Linked DNA regions of Caenorhabditis elegans. The protein of the gene in region 3 interacts with the protein of the main gene of each other region in a pairwise test. Each region holds a gene or a part of one and is shown on either strand. Other genes may lie near its edges.

Region 1 (8,176 bases), 8.6 Mb from region 3:
AAGTCCTGTGTTTGAAGCTTCTCTCTCATCTTGTTCACATCTGGGAAGTCTCCTGGAGATATATTGTGTTCTCTCTGGAGTTGCTCGTAGATCTTGTCAAGATTTTGGATCAAATCCTTCTTCTTCTTATCCTTTCCGATCATCGATGGCATTTGCTTACGAAGCTCAGCAATAATGTATGCGTGAACCTTGGCGAGACGAGCTCTCTTGATCAGATCGTTCAACTTTCGGAGAGCAGCGTTACGTGGCAATGCTTGAAGATCTTGGAACAGGTCGTGCTGCTCGTCTTGGAAAAGTCGACGATTGAGATCGTAGTGAAGTGGATGATCCCAGAATGATCCCAAATAGACACGTGAAACTTCTGGAGTTTTGAATACTTTTCCCAGTGACCACATCAGAGCTCCGTAGACTCTCATCAACTGTTGATGATCAACCATGTCTGACTTGTTGAGAACAATTCGTATTTTATCCTCGTTTCCAGCCAATGCTTCAATACATCTCTTGAACTCATCGGAAATGTCAAGCTTGTGAGCATCGAAAAGAAGAATGATACGATCGACACGTTCAGCGAACCACTCTAAAACTCCAGTGAAATCATATCCGCGATCGATTCTGGAATAAAAAAGTATTTTTATTTTTGCATCGTGGAAATTCGATCCAACAAGCATTCGTTTTTGTAAACAAATAAGTTATTGGAGCTTCATCAAATGGGGACAACTCCTTGAAAGTAGTGTTCCGATTATTTAAAAATTAAAACAAACCTTTGCTTTTCTCCGGATAAGATTCCAGGTGTATCAACGATCGTTACACTTTCGAGAACTTGATTTGGAAGAGTCGAGCACTGGAATCGATTCAAAAATGCGTTTCCGAATCCTGACAGAGCACGGAACTGCTTCTTTGCGTCAACAACAAGAGCATTTCCAGGAATGCTTCCTTCTTCATCACCATGCATCACAGCAATGAATCTGTCGGTGGTTGGCTCTGGACCGATTCGGATTCCTGGGAAATCGGACTCGAGGAGGTAACGGATGAAAGTCGTTTTTCCGGTCGAATATTGCCCGACGAGCAGGATCATTGGTTTGGCATCGAAATCCGGATCATCTGAAAAGAAGGAACGTTATTTTGAAAATATAAATATGCTAAATAATTTCAAATTACCGAGAGCTGGGCTGTGAAAGTCGTGAAACTTGTGGAATTCTTCAAGAGGCAGGAGTTTCTGCTTGTAAATCTTGCGGAGACCTTCGGAAACCGTCTCCAAAACTTCCTTGTTCTTCTTTTTTGACGAATCACCACCAAGCCACGAAAACATACTTCTCGTCTTCTTTTTCTTTTGTCCTTCTTCTGAAAACTGATAAAATTAAGAATAAATCATGAGATTTTGATTAAAACTAATGTTAAATTTATTTATTTAAAATTTACCAAGATGTTGAGGAGGTGAGAATTGGCGGAAAATTGAACGGAACATGTGAGATATTTCAAGAAATTAAGGAAATTTCGCGGGAGGAAAACAAAAACAAGCGAGTAACAAAATGTGTTTCGTATATGCGTCTTAAGGTTACTGTAGAAAGTAAAGTTGCAGGCCTAGACTTACTCTCATCCATTTTTCGTTTTTTGTTATAAAAAGTTATTTTTAATATTAAAAATAGTTTTTGTTTGAGAAAAATAAAATGAATCGAGATCTGACGTAAATTTTCAACAGAAATTCGATTTCCGTGGTGGTGGTGAATAAATATGTACAGCTGGAATTGAAAAACTAAAAAAAAAAACACAGTAAACGACATTACTTTAACAAAAAAAAAACGAAGATTCTCAATATTTTGGTTAGAAAACCTAATAAATTCTGAATTTTAAATTGATGTAACACTGAAAAAAAAAAGAAGTTATCTACAGAAAAATACCGAGCTTGAAGTGATACAAGTTTCGTCATCCTAAGTTCGAAAAAACTGAAAATTCTTCTAGATTTTCCGGCCAATTTATAGAATGACTAAATTCAGAATCCCCCAGTGAGACCCAAAGAAATCGAAATTGCGAAATAGGGGCTCTATTCTCGTGTTGAACTGAAACCAAGTGAGTCATCATAGCCGCCAGCCAACAATCAGGCGGTGTGAGAGAGTGGGACTTTCACGAAATGTGGTAAGAGACGCAGATACTGACAGACGACTAGTGTGTTCATTCACTGTGTGAACAGAGATGTAGGCGAATGGACACAGAGAGGGCAGAGATGACGTGGCGGCCTATTGATGATGATGCACTAACTGGGAGGAGGATCGTAAAACAAACAGGAAATATCAATAGAAAATTAGAACATTTAGAACATCAATTAGAGACCGTCAATTGGTTTTGAAATTAGATGGGTTGAGAAAATTTATGTTAATTGAGTGATTAGAATGCTAAAGATCATTAGGAACTGGTCAATGTAGTATCAGAAGCTTGAGACTGAAGTCATATTCTTTGAGGAATGTTTTATTCATCTTAAAAGGCTCATGAATTATATGAAATCGGGAACACAGTACAATCATCTGGTCACATCAATAGTTGACGTTCTATACATGACAAATTGCCGAGAGAGCGTAAAAATCAAGAATCACAGAAAAAGAGGAAAAATTAGAAATGGATCAGGTAGTCGAATCGAGAAAATAGATCGACCGACAGACTGCGCAAAAGCCAGACAAGAGAGTCTAAGGACCAAGTAGACCGCAGACGAAAAAGTCAAAATAATACGCGAACTGACCACCATCACCCACCGGCCGAACTGCAAAGATCTTATGGGGAAAAAAAGAGAACACACACAAAAAAAGCATTGTCGGAATTGCTTGCTGTGAATGGTTTTTGTTGGAAAACCAGCGCATATATCAAATGGTCGCAGTGTAAATATGAAACCACAATATTTGCTTGGAATTTCATGGAACTGATGAATAAGTAGGACAAATTGTGTTAGATTTAGTCAAATTAAATTGAAATTAGTAACTAAATATAATTAAAATATGCAATCAATAGAATGACGTATAGTAGTATTCTGCGTTCCAACTAGAAATCGACATAAAAATATTTTGTTGTAAAATCACGAGGTTGCTTGAGAAATAACATAATACAATTTCAACACAATAACAATTCAATTGCTCTAACTACAATATTTTCTGTATAATCGGTGTCCTGTTCCACTAGATAGAAAATTGAAAAGGTAAAAGTTGTGTTGAACTAATTCAACTTTTCATGTTTGGAGTGTGAATCGTAACTGAAATTCCGAAAAACTATCTAACAATAAGTCAAAAACTTTAAAGAAAATCACCCGGAAATAACAAACTTCAAATGCATTACCTATAGGTATACAGTAGTCAAAATCAAAAACTAAACCACTATCAATCAAGAGACCCAACTCAAAAATTCTTTGGAAGAAATAAAATTGAAAGCAGGCCGGAAGAGAAAAGTTTAGTTTGAGTTTATATAACGTGAATGCTCTCGCTTTCTCTTTCAACGGAGCACTGAACTCTAGCAACTGCTTGTGCACTATCGATTCCACAGGGGTCATGCATCAAGAAAAATGAGACAACCGCAAGCGGACGATGTTTGAGACGATTTGGTAGAAGGAGGAAAGAATTGAATCAAAATAAAGTAACCGATTTGTTATTTCATTGAATTGTTCGAGTAGGGGGATGGAAGAAACGAAAAGAAGAGAAAAAAGAAGAAAAGAAAAAGAAAGATGCGATGATTGCGGCATGATGATTAGCTCGTTAGACCGTGTGAATTTTTCAAAAAATGGAGAATTTATCAAAATTTCAAAATATAAATAGAACGTTGGAGCTAGAAAGCTTGAAATGTTTGAAAAAAATACACCATATAGAACCTGGAAACCATGTTTCGTTTGCCTTTTGAACGAGAATATGAGATGATTTACAAGAAAATTTTCAAGAAATTCAAGCTTTCAAGCGTTTGATTAATATCTCGTGAAATTGAGGTGAAATTGAAAATCATATAATGTCAAATACAAAAAATATAAACTTGAAGGTAGAGCTAAAAATAATTTTTGATTTTCTCGTTCTTTTATCAGAAACTTCTGGATTTGAAAGCCATAACTAGATTATCAAAATATAACGCGATTGAAAAGTCTGCCGTTTCACAACCTAAAAACCTTACCTTGATCATCAATTTTATAACTTTTCCAAAAAACTCGGACGCTATCCATTTAGGTGTTAGAGTTTCTAAAAATGATCATTTTCTGTTCATACTTACCAAAAAGATTACTCATTTCGAAATGCCCGAAAAAATAGAACAGATACCGATCAGTTGGTCACGTCAAAATTCTTGTAATACTTATAAAAGTTTTGTTCTCGCGCTATGACGGGCGGTCTTGTCTCTTTTGCCTCTCAACGGAGCAAACATAAAACAGTTTGCACACAATTATTTACAAGTTAGCAGAGCACATGGTGTTCCAGTACTGGGAGGATGTGAAAGAAAAGTTGTATAGCGAGAGTATGAAAATGCGTTGATTGGCACTGACCAAATGTTTATCAGTGTGACCTGTCAACGAATGATGCTCACAATGATAAAGAATAATGCAAAGTGCAGCTCTTTAAGCAAAAAGGTTTGAAGTTCCATTTGTCAGGAATTTTTTCAATCAATGGAAAATCGAACTGTGTGGGAAGAATAGCAAGTGTCTGCAGGATAGAAACTCCAAATAGAAAAGGAATGGCATTGGGAAATGCTTTTGAAAAGCGTTCTTTCGTTTTCCAGAATGAAAACAAAGAAAAGTGATGCAATGGTTTTTTGATATGCACTGTCATCTTCAGATTCAGAAAAAAACCTCTGCCTATATAATCTGTCAAAGTCAAATAGTGGGGTGCAATACTAATAGGGAAAGGTTGTTTTAAACTTTCGAACTGCGATCGCAGATCGACATTGGGATTTGGCAGGAAAAATACTAAATTTGATAGCCACATTACTCCAACTAGTTGTTTAAAAAAGTGCAGAAAAGTAGACGCATAAAACATTATATGAACAAAAATCTACAAATCTACCTCTAACCGGCTCCATATACTTTGCAAGTTTAGGTGATGCTTTTGGGGTCATCATAGATGCCCTTGCAATCGAAAGCCGCCTGATTGGCCTGTCAGCAGCAACTGGAACTTGCTGCTGAGCTCTCATTTTTGGAACCGGAGTTTCTTCTTCTTTGAGGCCTGAGATCTTAACTTCTTCGATCACTTCCTTCTTTACTTCAGTAATTTCTACGGAAGTATTGACGACTTCAATTTCTTCTTCAACTGTTTCAGGAACTTTCTCAAGTTCAGAGATTTCTTCTTCTTGGTGGATTTCTTTTTTAGAAGTTTCCGGAGTTTCCGATTCTACTGGAACTTGTGCCGGTTCTTTATGTTCTTCAACAACTCTCCCTAGATCTTCGTCTTTTTCGACTTCACTTCTTTCTGATAAATCTTCAGTCTCTGCGTTCAGCTCCTCAAAACTGGAACTTGATACCGATCCGGAAATCTGAAAATCGTTACAATTTATTTAAAGTGGTGAAAAAAAAATCCTAAAAGTGCACAGTACAAATTTCTTGCTACTGCTTCATTTTGGTGGAAGCCGACCTTTTGCAAAAACGCAAAATTAAAACCAAATGTGACAGGGTTGGAGAGAAAATGTAAACATTATGAAAATTTGTGTATACCAAAAATAAATTAATCAAAAGTAAAACGAAATACCCACCTCATTTTTTGAATTGACACCTTCCAATGACGCTACATTCTGCTCATCAAAGACCGAATCGATTTTCTTCATTTGCCCTTCTATTCTGTCGGTTTGTGTTGCCTCCTGCTCTTCTTTCGTGGAGCTATTAATGACAATGACGGGTGGCGCGGGTGCCTCGTTTATTTTGTGTTCTTCACTATTCACAGACTCCATCGATACTTTTGTTGTAAGAGGAATAGGAAATGATCCAGTAAAAAGTCGATGAAATGTTCCAAGTTTCGAGGCAAAAAACTGTCAAGAAGAGAAGCGAGGCGGAGACAAGTTTCGCACACTTTTTTTGTTATCAATTTTTATTTCGCGACAATTCACTTTGCAAAGAAAAAAAAGCATAAGGAGAACAATGATAACAGGAGGAAACATTCCAGAACATGATGAAATACAAATAGAATTAAAAATAGGAAATGACTCACCAATTTCACCTCCGAATGGGTTTGTTGAAGAGAATCTCTCAGAAGTTTTTTCAAAGGGATTGGTGCTTTTCTTACGGAATATAACCAGAGTTTTATCGATATCTTCGTCTGTTACTGTTGGTCGACAAAGTTGACATCCCATAGGTTTTGAGTGGAGTCAAAAATTAATAGATCATTTAAAGGTAAGCGGGAGAATATTCAATTTGAAAAGAGCTGATTTTCTGATGAAATAGGATGTAACAAGTGTGAGAAGAGAGATTCAATAGAGATTATGATTCACATTGAATGAAAAATGTTAATTTAGATGACCAAAGATTAGAATGTAAAGCTGAAAAACAACATTTTTAAAAGTTGATTATAAAACGATGTGTAAATTTTTTGTTGTGCTTAAGCAATACACATAAAAAGTTGTGCAACGTGGCCTAATAAAAAATCACAAAAAATGATATGAATTAATTAAATCAGGTGAATTCAGGAATTTTTTGTGCCAAGGTTGAATGTTCGAGGTGAATTTTATCACCCAAAGAATTATATCCAAAAGTGGTACACTTGAAAACTTTAATGAGCTCTACGAGTAATTATATATGTAGTTCAAAAATATTCGTTTCAAATGCACAGAAATGGGCACATTTGTGAGCGAACATTGAATTGAGTGGATGCGCAAACATACGATGTTTTCTTTCTTTCTGATAAACCAAGAAGAATCAATCCAAAACTTAATCATTATAAAATTAATACAAAAACAATTAACCAAAATATTGTTAAAAATAAATAAAATATTGCTACAAACTATAAGAAATCCAACAATTTTGATATCCCCGTCGACAAAACGGTCAATGTTTGAACATAAATGTGGCTGCCTTCCGAAAAGCGGCACACAAACGAACAAAACAAAAATCGATGCGGATTCCCATATTTCGTATACATTTTTCCCAATATTATGGACAAAATCATAGTTGCGTAGGTGTTAAAATTCAGAAAAAACTCTATTATCAAAACTCTTTCAATTATTTTCAAACAAAATTAGAGCTTCAAAAATTTTGCACAGCTACGTCATTTCTCACCTTCATAATCTGGATAGAACGTAATTTCATTTCGATTAGCTCGTGGAACAGTACGGAAAAAATTATACATTTTATACAATAATGACAGTCGTGAATGGAAACTTTTGAAGGTTTTAACTTCGTTTTTTCAGTAGATGATAGTGTCAATTGTACGCTGTTTATGTAAATCCTATTGACGTAATATTGGATTTTTTCAATGCATTGATCAATTGTGTTTCATTCAATATTCCCGTAGAATGGCTCTATGATTCAATCAAATAATTTCGAGTTTACGGTTTTTTTGACAGTTTCTTCTAAAAGAATTCCAGATTATTTCCCCACCTTACACAAGAAAATAAATCCTAACCTGAAACTTCGACAGATTTATGAAAAATGATGGATGTATGAAACAAGTAAATCAACAATAATTTATTTACATTTATGTATCTCGCTACAAATTTATTTTGAAAAAAACAGATTAAAAACATGCATAATTTATGCTTTCACTCCTTCGAATGTGATCACATTTGGAATTGCGACACCTCGAGATGCTTGAATTTTCAAAAGTTCGGCGAATTCTTCAACTGCTTTTCCAAATCTTTTCACAGTATCTTCATCACTGAAGTCACTGAGTCCGTAAGTGACATCATTGTTTGCTTCTTTCAGCGAGTTCCGTCCCATTTGTTCAATTTGAGTGTTGCTCGCAAGAAGTGAGAGGACAAATTCACTTTGATCAATTGCATCGAAGACAGCTGAAGGGGCCAACTTTTGCAGAATTTTCTTTGGGAGATCTGGCTCCGCAGTAATCGGTCTACCCAAACCAATTCCTTGTGTGGCTCCGGATTTGATAGCTTCAACCATTGCGTTAACTGTACGGAAACCTCCAGTCAAGTAGACAACTGTGTTTTTGAAAACTGGGCGAATCTGAAAAAAAAACATGATAAAAATTAGTACCGCACGGAACCGAGAAAGAAGTTATTTAGG
Region 2 (5,055 bases), on a different chromosome or scaffold from region 3:
CTTTCCACCGCCTGTGCTTAAGATAACAACTGCATCTTCTTTACTCATTACTGCATTGATTGCGGCTCTCTGAAGAGGTCTGAACTTTTCCAAATGAAATTGTTCTTTAAGGATCTTTGTAGCTTCATCGGACCATGGGAACCCATCTCGATCCCAACGATCCGTCACAACATCCGAGTCTTCATTCGTTTTTAGTTCGATTTTTCGCTCGATCTGAAATAAATATTTTAAAGACATTTAGCTGGTTGAGATCGGTCACTAACAGCCTGCCTTTTTTGAGTTAATTCCGATTTCTTTCGTCTTAATTGGCTGATTTGTTGATCAATCTGCCCGATTTCTCCGTCGAGATCGGCAAGCTCTGTGGACAACTTGGAGAGCAGAACATCGCTCATGAGATCTGGAATAGTTATTTTGTTTACATAAAAGAAGATATTTCCACGTGAAAATATGAAAGTAGCCATACGATAAGGCTTTTTGGATAGTTAAAAAATAACCTATAATAATAAAAATTCAAATTTTTTCACACCGATTCTGAGAAAAAAGACCCGTATTTTAACAACAATTAACAACAAAAAATCAACAAAAATAATAACAAAACAAAGTTCAGAGAACCAATTCTTCTAGTGCTTCCAGCACATCATTCCTCGTTTTCGTAGCCATGTTGCTCATTTTCCGCCCATCTTTTGCTCTTAATCTTTGATATTTCGGCCACCAGTCGAATCTTGTTCTCCATTCAGGCACCACAAACGAGGGATCAGTTAGGCTCAGAACTTTCTCAAAGAGACTCCATGCTCGTTCATTGAATCGGTTAGAGTCAAAATCCAGGAATTCGAACATGATTTTTAGAGATTTCTGCATGGTCTCTTTCACTGATCCAAATCTTCCGACCGTTTGAACTAGGTTCTCCACATAGTCTAACCACGTGGGCTCACTAGGATGCAAGGAGAACCGATCGCAGATTTGATGAATAATCTCTTCATTTTCGTATCCAACGCCACATCGTTCGGCTAATTGCATCATACGGGGGCCGAGAGATGGGTGACGGGTTATTGTATCCATGATGGTTTTACTTCTAAAACAGTTAATATTATTATTATTGATTTCTCTGAGGTTTGGCTCATTTTCAGCTAATGTTGTTGTTTTTTTAACGAAGAATTTGCTATTTAAGTATTCGAGTTGGGTCTACTAAATATTTAGCATACCCAACTTTGGTCTGCTAAATATTTAGGATACCTAACTTTGGTGTGTTAAATATATAGCATACCTAATTTTGGTCTGCTAAATATTTAGCATACCCAACTTTGGTCTGCTAAACATATAGCATACCTAACTGTGGTCTGCTAAATATTTATCATACCTAACTTTGGCCTGCTAAATATTTAGCATACCCAACTTTGGTCTACTAAATATTTAGCATACCTAACTTTGGTCTGCTAAATATTTATCATACCTAACTTTGGTCTAAATGTTTAGCTGACCAAAGCAGACAGACTGTCTCGATTTATTGAAGGAGAAAACGAAAAGAGAGGTAAATTTGCTGTTTATTGAGCGAAAAATTTGGATCTGCCAAGCATTCGTTTTGGGCCTGCTAAATATGAAACTCTGGAATCCAGCGGAAAACTGACAAGTCTTCATGCTGATCACACTGGTTGCGAATTTTACACGCAAGTTCCACAGCTGTCACACATCCAGCTCCAATATCATCTGACTTGGATTCCTCTTCTAATCGCTGAGCAGTCACCAAGAATCCTTGTGCATTTCCATTACTCCTATCGTACTTGGAAATCATTTTCCAAAATTGAAAAATTCGTTTTCCACGTGGATTTGTCGCTTGTGGAGTAAAAATTGAATAGAATTCTTCCATTTCTTCCTGGGAGCTGGACCAGTTGAATGCAATAGCCACATTGAGTGCTTCGTTTAGAAAATAAAAACCGTCTCCTTTGACGTGAAGAGCGCGCATTTGAAGAGTATTCGCATGGGCGAGTTGTACAATTTGTTCATTTTGAAGTGGAAATGTCCAGTTTTCTAGAACCGTCTGAAGTGCGAAGCTGCTAGCTTCTGGTGCTTGAATAAACGAATCTCGCTCTTGAAATATATTCTTAATGTGCTCCGTCAGAAGGTCATGCCGTTTTTTTGCACTATATCGAAAATTTCGCAGGTGTCGATGATTTGAGAGAAGATTTTCGAGTCCTTCGCGGTATCCAATGAGGAACAGGTGAAAACAACCAAGGCGCTCTTGATTCACAGTTTTTCTGAAAGAAATTTCCATTGAAAAGATAAAATTTTAAAAAAAATCACTCACTGGACGACTTCATTTGCGAATTTCCTCTGTCCTACAGTGGCGAGCGATGTGCTGGCATACTGAGCAAGATTCAGATGTCTTGTAACTTCTGATAAATTGTTCAATACTGATGGAAGATTTCCGGCTTGTCCCACATCTCTCGAAGCCGCAATTGCTGCGACACGAAGCGGCCCATCCGTCTGGCTCAACTCAAATCCTTGATGAAGAAGTACTCGAGCGTACTTCTCGACGATTCGAGAACAATATCCACGTTTTCCAGAAAGTGGAGTGATGAATTCGTCAAGAAGCCTAAACCATCTTGGTTCTGCAAAAGAATTTAGTGCTAAAATACTTTTTTGGGAAAAAATTACCTTTTGTTTCAAATGCTTCCATCCATCGAAACTGAATTTCACGCTGATCAGCGTTATTATCGAAATTTTGGAATTCTGCAGAGTCGATATATTTGATTTCTGGGAGCTCTTCTTCTTCTAAAAGTTCAGATTCTGCAGAGTCCATTTTGAAATTGAAAAAAAAAACGAAAGTGTTTTGTTTTGCAACGACACTCCGATATTCCACCGCGCGCGTTGTTTACCGTAAATCATTCACCCGCGTCTCTTCGAAAAATGATTCGATATTTTCAATTCTATAGTTTTTCTATAGGTTTTTTCTTGTTTTTCAATTAAAAATTTATTTGAAAATCCGTAATTCTTGTTTTTGGTTAATTATTTACTCAAAAAAGTAAGCGCTTTAGCCAACATTCTGTCTCTTCTTCTGCTCGAACACCACGCGGTGAAAATTTTCTTACTTAGTTGATGTCTATTCGAGTATATGAAATAATTTTTCAGTATGGTTGAGAAAGAAGAAACCAAAAAGAGGGCTCGCTCGTCTTCAAGCAGCTCGTCCAGTAGCTCTGGATCGTCATCTTCTGGGTATGCTTTACAATTTTCATACAATAGCTTAATAATCGATATTTCAGAAGTAGTTCATCAGGATCTCGCTCCTCCAGCTCATCGTCCAGTGGCCGTTCTCGTTCTCGCTCACCACGTCGTCGTGATACCCGCCCACCAGCTCGTGGAGGACGCTCTCGTTCTCCAATCCGTCGTGGTTCACCGCCAAGAGGAGCACGCGCGGATCGCGATCGCCCAATGCGACCATCACCATCACCACCACGTCGCCGTCGTCCATCCCCATCGCCACCACGTCGTGATCGTCGTGACAGAAGCGGGAGCCGTCAGAGGAGACGCGCTTCTCCGAGGAGAAGCCCAGCAGCAAGATCAGCCAGTCCGGCCAAGCGTGTAGTGATCAAAAATTTGAGCAGAAATGTTCTGAAAACGCACCTCGAGGAGATTTTCTCGATCTACGGAGCCATCAAGAATGTCGATCTTCCACCAGATCGCTTCCATAACCATGTTCATCGTGGATATGGATACGTTGAATATGACAATTTGGAAGACGCCGAAAAGTCGATCAAGCACATGGATGGAGGACAAATCGATGGAATGGCTGTTCACGTCGAAATGACTATCGGACGACAATCTGTCCCATTCCAGCGTAGAAGTTCTCCATTTAGAAGACGCTCGCCGCCACCAAGAGACAGAATGTCACCAATGAGAAGAGGGTAAGTAATCAAGGAAAAGTAGTATATTTTGATAATTTTCATCAAATTCCAGAGGCCGCAGTCCACCACCACATCGCAGACGTTCTCCAATGGGCGGCCGTGGCTCAGGAGCCAACAATATGCCACTTGGAGGGCCCAACAGATTCCGCCGTGCCAGCCGCTCTCGTTCTCCAGCCGGCAGAAGATCGCGTTCTTAAACTTCCATTACTGACGTTCCATTTTAAAACCCCATTCTAAACTGTCCAAATTCTGAACATCCTTTGTTTATTATTCTTCTGTTTTGTTATGCAAAAGATCTCCCCAATTTTCGTTTTTTTAATAAATTATTTTGGGTGTTTTAAGGGTAATTTGGATTGGTTAAAGACATGGTTAATTGCCTGTTAATTATCTATTTTAATTTTAAAACCGTCCTCAGAGGGGTTTAAATGTTAGAAAATATTTAAAAAAAAAACAAGAAAGCCTGGCGCGAAATATATAGTAGCGCAGGCGTCGGTGTCGATTTATGAAAAAGTGGTAATTAAATACAAAGAAAATCAATTTTAAATAATTGTTTAAAGGCGCATCGTGAATAAACACAAACTCCGTAAATCGACACAGAGCCTGCGCTACGAGATATTTTGCGCCACAAATGTAGGAATACTTATTTCTTCATGGTTTTTTAATAATTATAATAAGCTAATCAATTTTAAAATATTTATTCTTGTTTTATTATTTTATTGTTTTACCGCTTGATTTTCCAGATGACACAAGACAAGCCGATTGTGGAGACAATTTCAAACGCCGGTGAACAAGTGACAAATGTTTTTGGACAATTCTGGCAACTTGTCACCTCGAAAAACACGACGAATAATGGAGATTCAAAACCTATTAAGATTGAGCAACTTCCGATTTATGCTGAAGATAATGCTCCACTGAAGCAGAAATTCCTTCCAGAAGAGCCACTTCCTCTTCAAAGAGAATTCGCGACTATTCGTATCGCATGTGAGCAGGAGTATGATCGTGTTGCTGTGAGTTTTACGCGATTTTATGTGGAGAAAAAATTATATTTCGTTTTTAATTGGTTTTTTTTTAAAAGAAGAGTTTGGATTATTTTATTTAGCTAATTTTTTGTATTTAAGTAATTATTTGATATCTGTAGTTTTTTCAAGTGAAAACC
Region 3 (5,623 bases):
GACGGCAAAATTATTGTGGGAATTTCTTGTTCTGTATGTGCTGGTTTGTCAGCCCCATCAGGTTCCACGCTATTTTCATTAGCAGATATTTTGATATTTCCTTCTTCACAATCACCAGATGATTCCAGCGCAATTACCTTTGCAGATGAAACTGGCTCAGTTTCTTCAACATTTTCAGATGCATCAGGTTCTTTATTTTCAGAACTTTCCTGATCTGATGCAGTTTCCAATGCAGGCCTATTCAAATTATCTCCAGAATCTTCCAAACCGATAACTGCTGGAGCTTCCATTTCAGAATTCTCATTTGCTTCAATGGAAGCTGCTTGCTGTCCTTGTTCCAGACCGATGAAGTGTTCTCCTGAAGATTCAAGTCCGATTGCAGTTGTATTTTCAACATCCCCAGTAACTTCAGATTCTTTATTTTCAGAGAATTCTTTCTCCGGTGGATCTTCCTGTACAGAATCTTTCAAGTTCTCTCCAGAATCCTCCAAACCGATGACAGCTGCTGTTTCCAATACATAACTCTCACAATTGTCAATCTGACCTTCTTCATGTTCTAGATCCGTACCGATAAAGTTGTCTCCAGAAGATTCAAGGCCAATCGCCTCTGGAGATGCATTTTCCGCATCTTCCGGAATCACAGAACTGTCAATATCAGAAGATGTCAAATTTTTCTCATGAGCAGCGACAATCTCTGCAAGACCAGAATCCTCAAGCCCAATCGTTTCTCTTTGAACAATTTCCGTTACATCATCCTGTTTGATATCTGCGCTCTCACCAGTTTCATCAACATTTCCAGATGCATCGTGTTCTTTAAGTTCAGAAAATTCTTGATCTTCTGAAGATTTCAACTGTGATTGTTTCACTTCATCTCCAGAATCCTCCAACCCAATGACATCCAATTCTGAACTTTCAATCCCTTTGATGGGCTCTGGCTGCTGTTCTGGATCCGTACCAATAAAATTGTCTCCCGAACATTCAAGTCCGATTGGGGTTATATTTTCAGCAATTTCGGTCACTTCAGAAACTTTATTTTCAGAAAGTTCTTGGTTTGTTACAGTTTCCAATGCTGGTTCTTTCAAAATATCTCCAGATTCTTCCAACCCAATGACTTCTTGGGTTACTAATTCGGAGCTCTCAGAACCTTTAATTTGTTCTGTGCCCTTTTCTGGATCGGTACCAATGAAGTTGTCTCCAGACGATTCAAGTCTAATTGGGGTTGTAATTTCAGCAATTTCAGTCATTTCAGATTCTTTATTATTGAAGTTTTCTTGATCTGGTGCAGTTTCAAGTAAAGGATCTTTCAAAATATCTCGAGATTCTTCCAACCCAATGACTGCTGGGGCTTTAAAACTTGAAGTTTCCTCAACCGCTTCTTTTTGAGATTGTTCAGCTCCTGCATTTTGCTCGATGCCTGCGTTCTCTCCAGATTCTACAAGATCGATTGCTTCCGGATTCTTAGATTCTCCAACTTCTTCGTTCAAATTTTCTGCGGTATTTTCAGAAACTTCAGTCACTTCAGGCTCTTTAATTTTCGAGAATTCTTGATTTGATGCTGTTTCCAGTGCATGCTTATTTATAATATCTTCAGAATCTTCCAATCCGAAGACTGCTGGGGCTTCGAAAGTCGAAGTTTCCACAACCCCATCAGCAGAGCTTTGAGGTTCCAAATCACTTTTAGAAGTAGAATCATACTCTTGATTATCTTGAGTAGGTCCAATTTCTGCAACATATTCTTGTGTTTCTTGGATTATTGGTATAACACCACCTTCATCCTCAAGACCAATGAAGACATGCTGAACATCCGTATTAATTGTATCTTTTTCGGATTCCAAGTCCGCAGAATAATTTCGAATTATTTGCAATTTTTCGGCTGCATCTTTGAGAACATCAGATACAGAGGAATCCTCAATTTCATAATTGTCTCCTGTTGGAGTTGGCGTCTTAGAGTCCACAGATTTTACAAACGAATTTTGGAAAGTTTCTTCCTCAGGATCATCATCCAAATCATCCAAAGTGTCATTGGAAGTCAACTTAACTCTTTCGATAAAGTCTCTTGCACCTTCTCCAGCATTCGCTTCTAGGACTGTAGTGAATGACTCAGTTTCAGTCTGTTCATCTTTTTCAACTGGTTTAAATGTAAATTCAGTAAGTTCAGCAACATCTGTAACTTCTTCCACAACGTTATCTAGTTCTTCAGATGGTGGAATGTCCTCAAAAGTAATGGTTTCCTGAGAATCAATACTCACATCTTCCATCATTGGAATTGTATAAACCAATTCAAATCGACGATCAGTTGGCTCACGGAACAAAAGATCCACTTCGACTTCCTCATCCTCAAATTCCAATTCATCCAGGTTGATTTCGGCACTTTTTGAAATGGTGTAAGCTAATTCCATTTCTGAATTCTTTGGCTGACGGAACAGTAAATCAGTTTGCACATTTTCTTCTTCTTCTTCAAAAACTTCATCATCAAGAGGTTCATTGAGAATATCGTCAGGAAGTTGTTCAACTTCCGAATGAGAACAAGAGGACCCACCGGACTCTGACTCAGGAGTTTGAAGGGGTTGAAGAGCAAGTGGCTGGAGGGATTTTGGCTCATGCTCAGATGTTGGCTCGTTTGTGGAATTTGTCTCCTCTGAAATGACAAAAAGATTTTCCAAGGAAATTTAAGAATATTATTTTTTCTAAGTGAAAGACCTTGACAAAGCATTAATCTCGACCTTTTAAATTTTGATTTTTAATTATTTCAGTGTTTTTTTGCTTTATTTTTGAGACCTATAAATGCTCCAAAAGCTCTTTTCCGATATTTTAATATGGGTTTTCGAATTTGATTTTCAGATTTTTTTCCGAAATATATCGGAATCCAAACAATTTCCACATAATTTTGTCGACTTTTTTACCTTTTTATCTTTTTAAATTTTTTTTTATCTTTTTTAATGCCTAAAAACTATTTTTTGAATCATTTTTGCGGGATGTCTAGAAATAAACTGAAAAAATCAAAAACAAAAATTTCAGAGGTAGATATCGGATATGTGCCTACTTGGATACGTGGAACATTTATTAAAGTTTTTTTTCAGAAATTTTAAGTTAAAAAAGTTATATAATGCTTTTTCTTATGAACTTCAAAATTTTCAAAATTCACAAAAAAAACTAGCAAGAGATACAATCTATTAGAAATCAAGCTTTTTCAATTTTTTTTTTTCAAACTGCATTTTTACAAACTAAATTTAAAAAAAATATGAAAAAACACTCACCTTTCGGGTCAATCCAAATTGTCTTAACCAACTCAAAATTTGTGATCTCCGGTGGTTTTCGAAAGAAAAGTTCCACATCGACATTTTCAGCGTTCATTTCGTTTTCAGCATCCATGAAGTGGTGTTTTTCGTGACAAAATTTTTTGGAGCTCACAAAAATGTGCTGACACGAGATGAAGGGACCCCGAGGAGTTCACCATGTGATTGTATACCCTGCGTCTCCGCACAGGTACATGATATTTCTGCGGGGACAGCTGCCGTCTCACCGCAGGTGATGAGCATTTTTGCTTTCTCTCGGGGTTTTCGATCATCTCGCTCTTTTGTGCTATTTTGTTTTTCTTTTTGTTGTTGCCCTCTGTCTTCTTCTCTTTCATCTCATTCATCTCTTTTTCAGCTCAAACAGAGATCCAAGTCATACGTTTCAAATGACAATAGGGGAAAGATGGGGGTGTCAGTGATAAGCTCAAAATCATGGTGGCTTCAAAATTATTTAAAGGAAAGCACTTAAAAATCTCATGAAATGCCTGCCCATGAAAGAGAAACAGTTTTTTTTTCTGTTCTCGAAGGTTTCGAAATTAGTTTTTTCAGCTTCCTTTTATTGACCGATAAATCTTGCATGGCGGTCTGTTCACCTGTTTAAATATTATGTTGAAATCAAAACAGAGCGACCGTGTTTTGGAAAACACGCAGAGAAGCACGAATGTGAATAAGAAAAAGTCGATCTCAAATTTCTACGTCATTTGTTCAAACGCATATTGACTTATTTAACAGCCACTTAATTTTTTTCGAATTCACTGCTGATTTTATAGTGCTTATTGGCAAAGGAAATATTTTTTGAAAAAAAGTTCCAATAACTGACTTATTTTTGAATTTTTTCTGACATTCAAATTTAAATTCAATTAAAATTCTGAAACTGCCAAAACAACAATATATTTTTAACATTACAAATTTATTAAATTTTTTTTCAAATTCACATAATCCAAAACAATCGTTTATGTTGAAACCCGTTATAAAAAACCATTTTCTGGTTGATTTAAAAAATGACTTTCAAATTTATGAGCCGCGAAAATTTAAAATTGGCACATCTTGATTGTAAATAAATCTTGCAATTTTTAGTGGTAATTGCACTATAGAAGATATTTTGAACAATTCTCCTACTGACGTTTCTCTTTTTAAAAAAATGAGCCAAGATATAAGCTCACAAAAAAAGAAGCAGTACTAGTAGTAACAATATTGAAAATTTAGAAAGTCTGACATCTGAAAAAGCGAAAATAAATATAGCAATATGCAATTTGTCTCGTTTTTCCATGTTATCAATTGATATCAACTCATATGTTCATGGAAAGAGTGTGGTGAGTGACGTAAGCAAACAAACAAAATTGTTTTTATTTCCATAACCTCTATTTTGAAAACTTCCAACTGTTTCCATTCCCCCAGTTACAGTCAATTGTCAATCTATAACATACAAAAATGCCAGTTTATATTAGATACGCAGACAGCTAGAACATTTAAAGCACGTGCTGTGTCGGCTGTTCAGATGTAAGAGGGGCATCTGTTGTTAATCGTAAATCACATTGACAGGTAGGTCAGAGAGTTTTGATGACGTGGATTGGGGGAGAGGGTTGGGTTTCAGAGTTTTTTGTCAGAAAAAAGTTTTGGAAAAGAAGAAAGAAGTTGATCGAGTAACTTGAGAAAGTTGTGAAATGAAATTTTGAGAAAAAAAAATGAAAATGAAACAAAAAACAAAATAAAAAAAAAGATCGAGAGAAGATAGATAATTCTGCCAATAGAAAAGAAGATAGAAACCTAATGGCAGGTAATTAATTATATCAAGTCTAAATGAATCATTTCCAAAAAAAGGAAGTTGTCAGTATAAACTTAGTTTGAAGTAACAAAACGGAACATTCATATTTGGAATTCATGAAAGAGTTGACGGCATGTCAGAAAAGTTGGAGAACGTCAGGAAAAATTGGGAACTCAGCATTGTTAGAATTGCACCGTAAATATGGAAAATTATTTTTTATAGTGCTCAAAAATTGAACACAAATTGCACAAGAAATGTCTCAAAACAAAAAAAAACGTTTCTAAATAATTTATTAATTTTTTATTAAAAAAATCGCTCAAAATTTATCTGAATTTTAACTCTGAAATTACGCTGAAACTTCTCAAAAATTTTCCAAAAATTTTTGAAATCTTATTTTTTTAATGTGCAAAACTTCTCAAACATGTTAGAGCAACGTATAAGCCAAAACTAGTCAAAAAAGAGAAACAGAAGAAGAAGAAGAAAAAAAATAGTGCGAAATGGTAGATAGATTTAGCAACAGGGAAACAAATTTAAAATGGACTACATTAACTACGGGTAACCT

What was found. Proteins that work in one complex are often made in the same cells at the same time.
Region 1: the proteins of ret-1 (region 3) and rme-1 interact in a two-hybrid assay, tested with the Caenorhabditis elegans proteins (2 studies listed by BioGRID).
Region 2: the proteins of ret-1 (region 3) and tag-51 interact in a two-hybrid assay, tested with the Caenorhabditis elegans proteins (2 studies listed by BioGRID).

The regions. Positions count from the first base shown.
Region 1 is NC_003283.11:6,207,992-6,216,167, reverse strand, and holds the start of rme-1 (Dynamin-type G domain-containing protein), read right to left. Parts: upstream 6,001-8,176; 5' UTR 5,893-6,000; coding exon 5,698-5,892; intron 5,482-5,697; coding exon 5,016-5,481; intron 4,247-5,015; coding exon of another isoform or gene 4,231-4,246; intron 2,453-4,230; exon of another isoform or gene 2,237-2,452; intron 1,351-2,236; exon of another isoform or gene 1,342-1,350; coding exon 1,159-1,341; intron 1,102-1,158; coding exon 762-1,101; intron 613-761; coding exon 1-612. Other genes in the region: W06H8.2 (NADH:flavin oxidoreductase/NADH oxidase N-terminal domain-containing protein), read right to left, coding at 7,688-8,116.
Region 2 is NC_003281.10:851,981-857,035, reverse strand, and holds tag-51 (uncharacterized protein), read right to left. Parts: upstream 2,816-5,055; 5' UTR 2,798-2,815; coding exon 2,653-2,797; intron 2,607-2,652; coding exon 2,303-2,606; intron 2,253-2,302; coding exon 1,626-2,252; intron 1,073-1,625; coding exon 604-1,072; 3' UTR 501-603; downstream 1-500. Other genes in the region: K02F3.12 (Putative ATP-dependent DNA helicase Q1), read right to left, coding at 1-213, 264-461; rnp-5 (RRM domain-containing protein), read left to right, coding at 3,128-3,210, 3,258-3,899, 3,952-4,096; moma-1 (MICOS complex subunit MIC27), read left to right, coding at 4,640-4,906.
Region 3 is NC_003283.11:14,843,959-14,849,581, forward strand, and holds the start of ret-1 (Reticulon-like protein), read right to left. Parts: upstream 3,355-5,623; coding exon 3,258-3,354; intron 2,639-3,257; coding exon 1-2,638.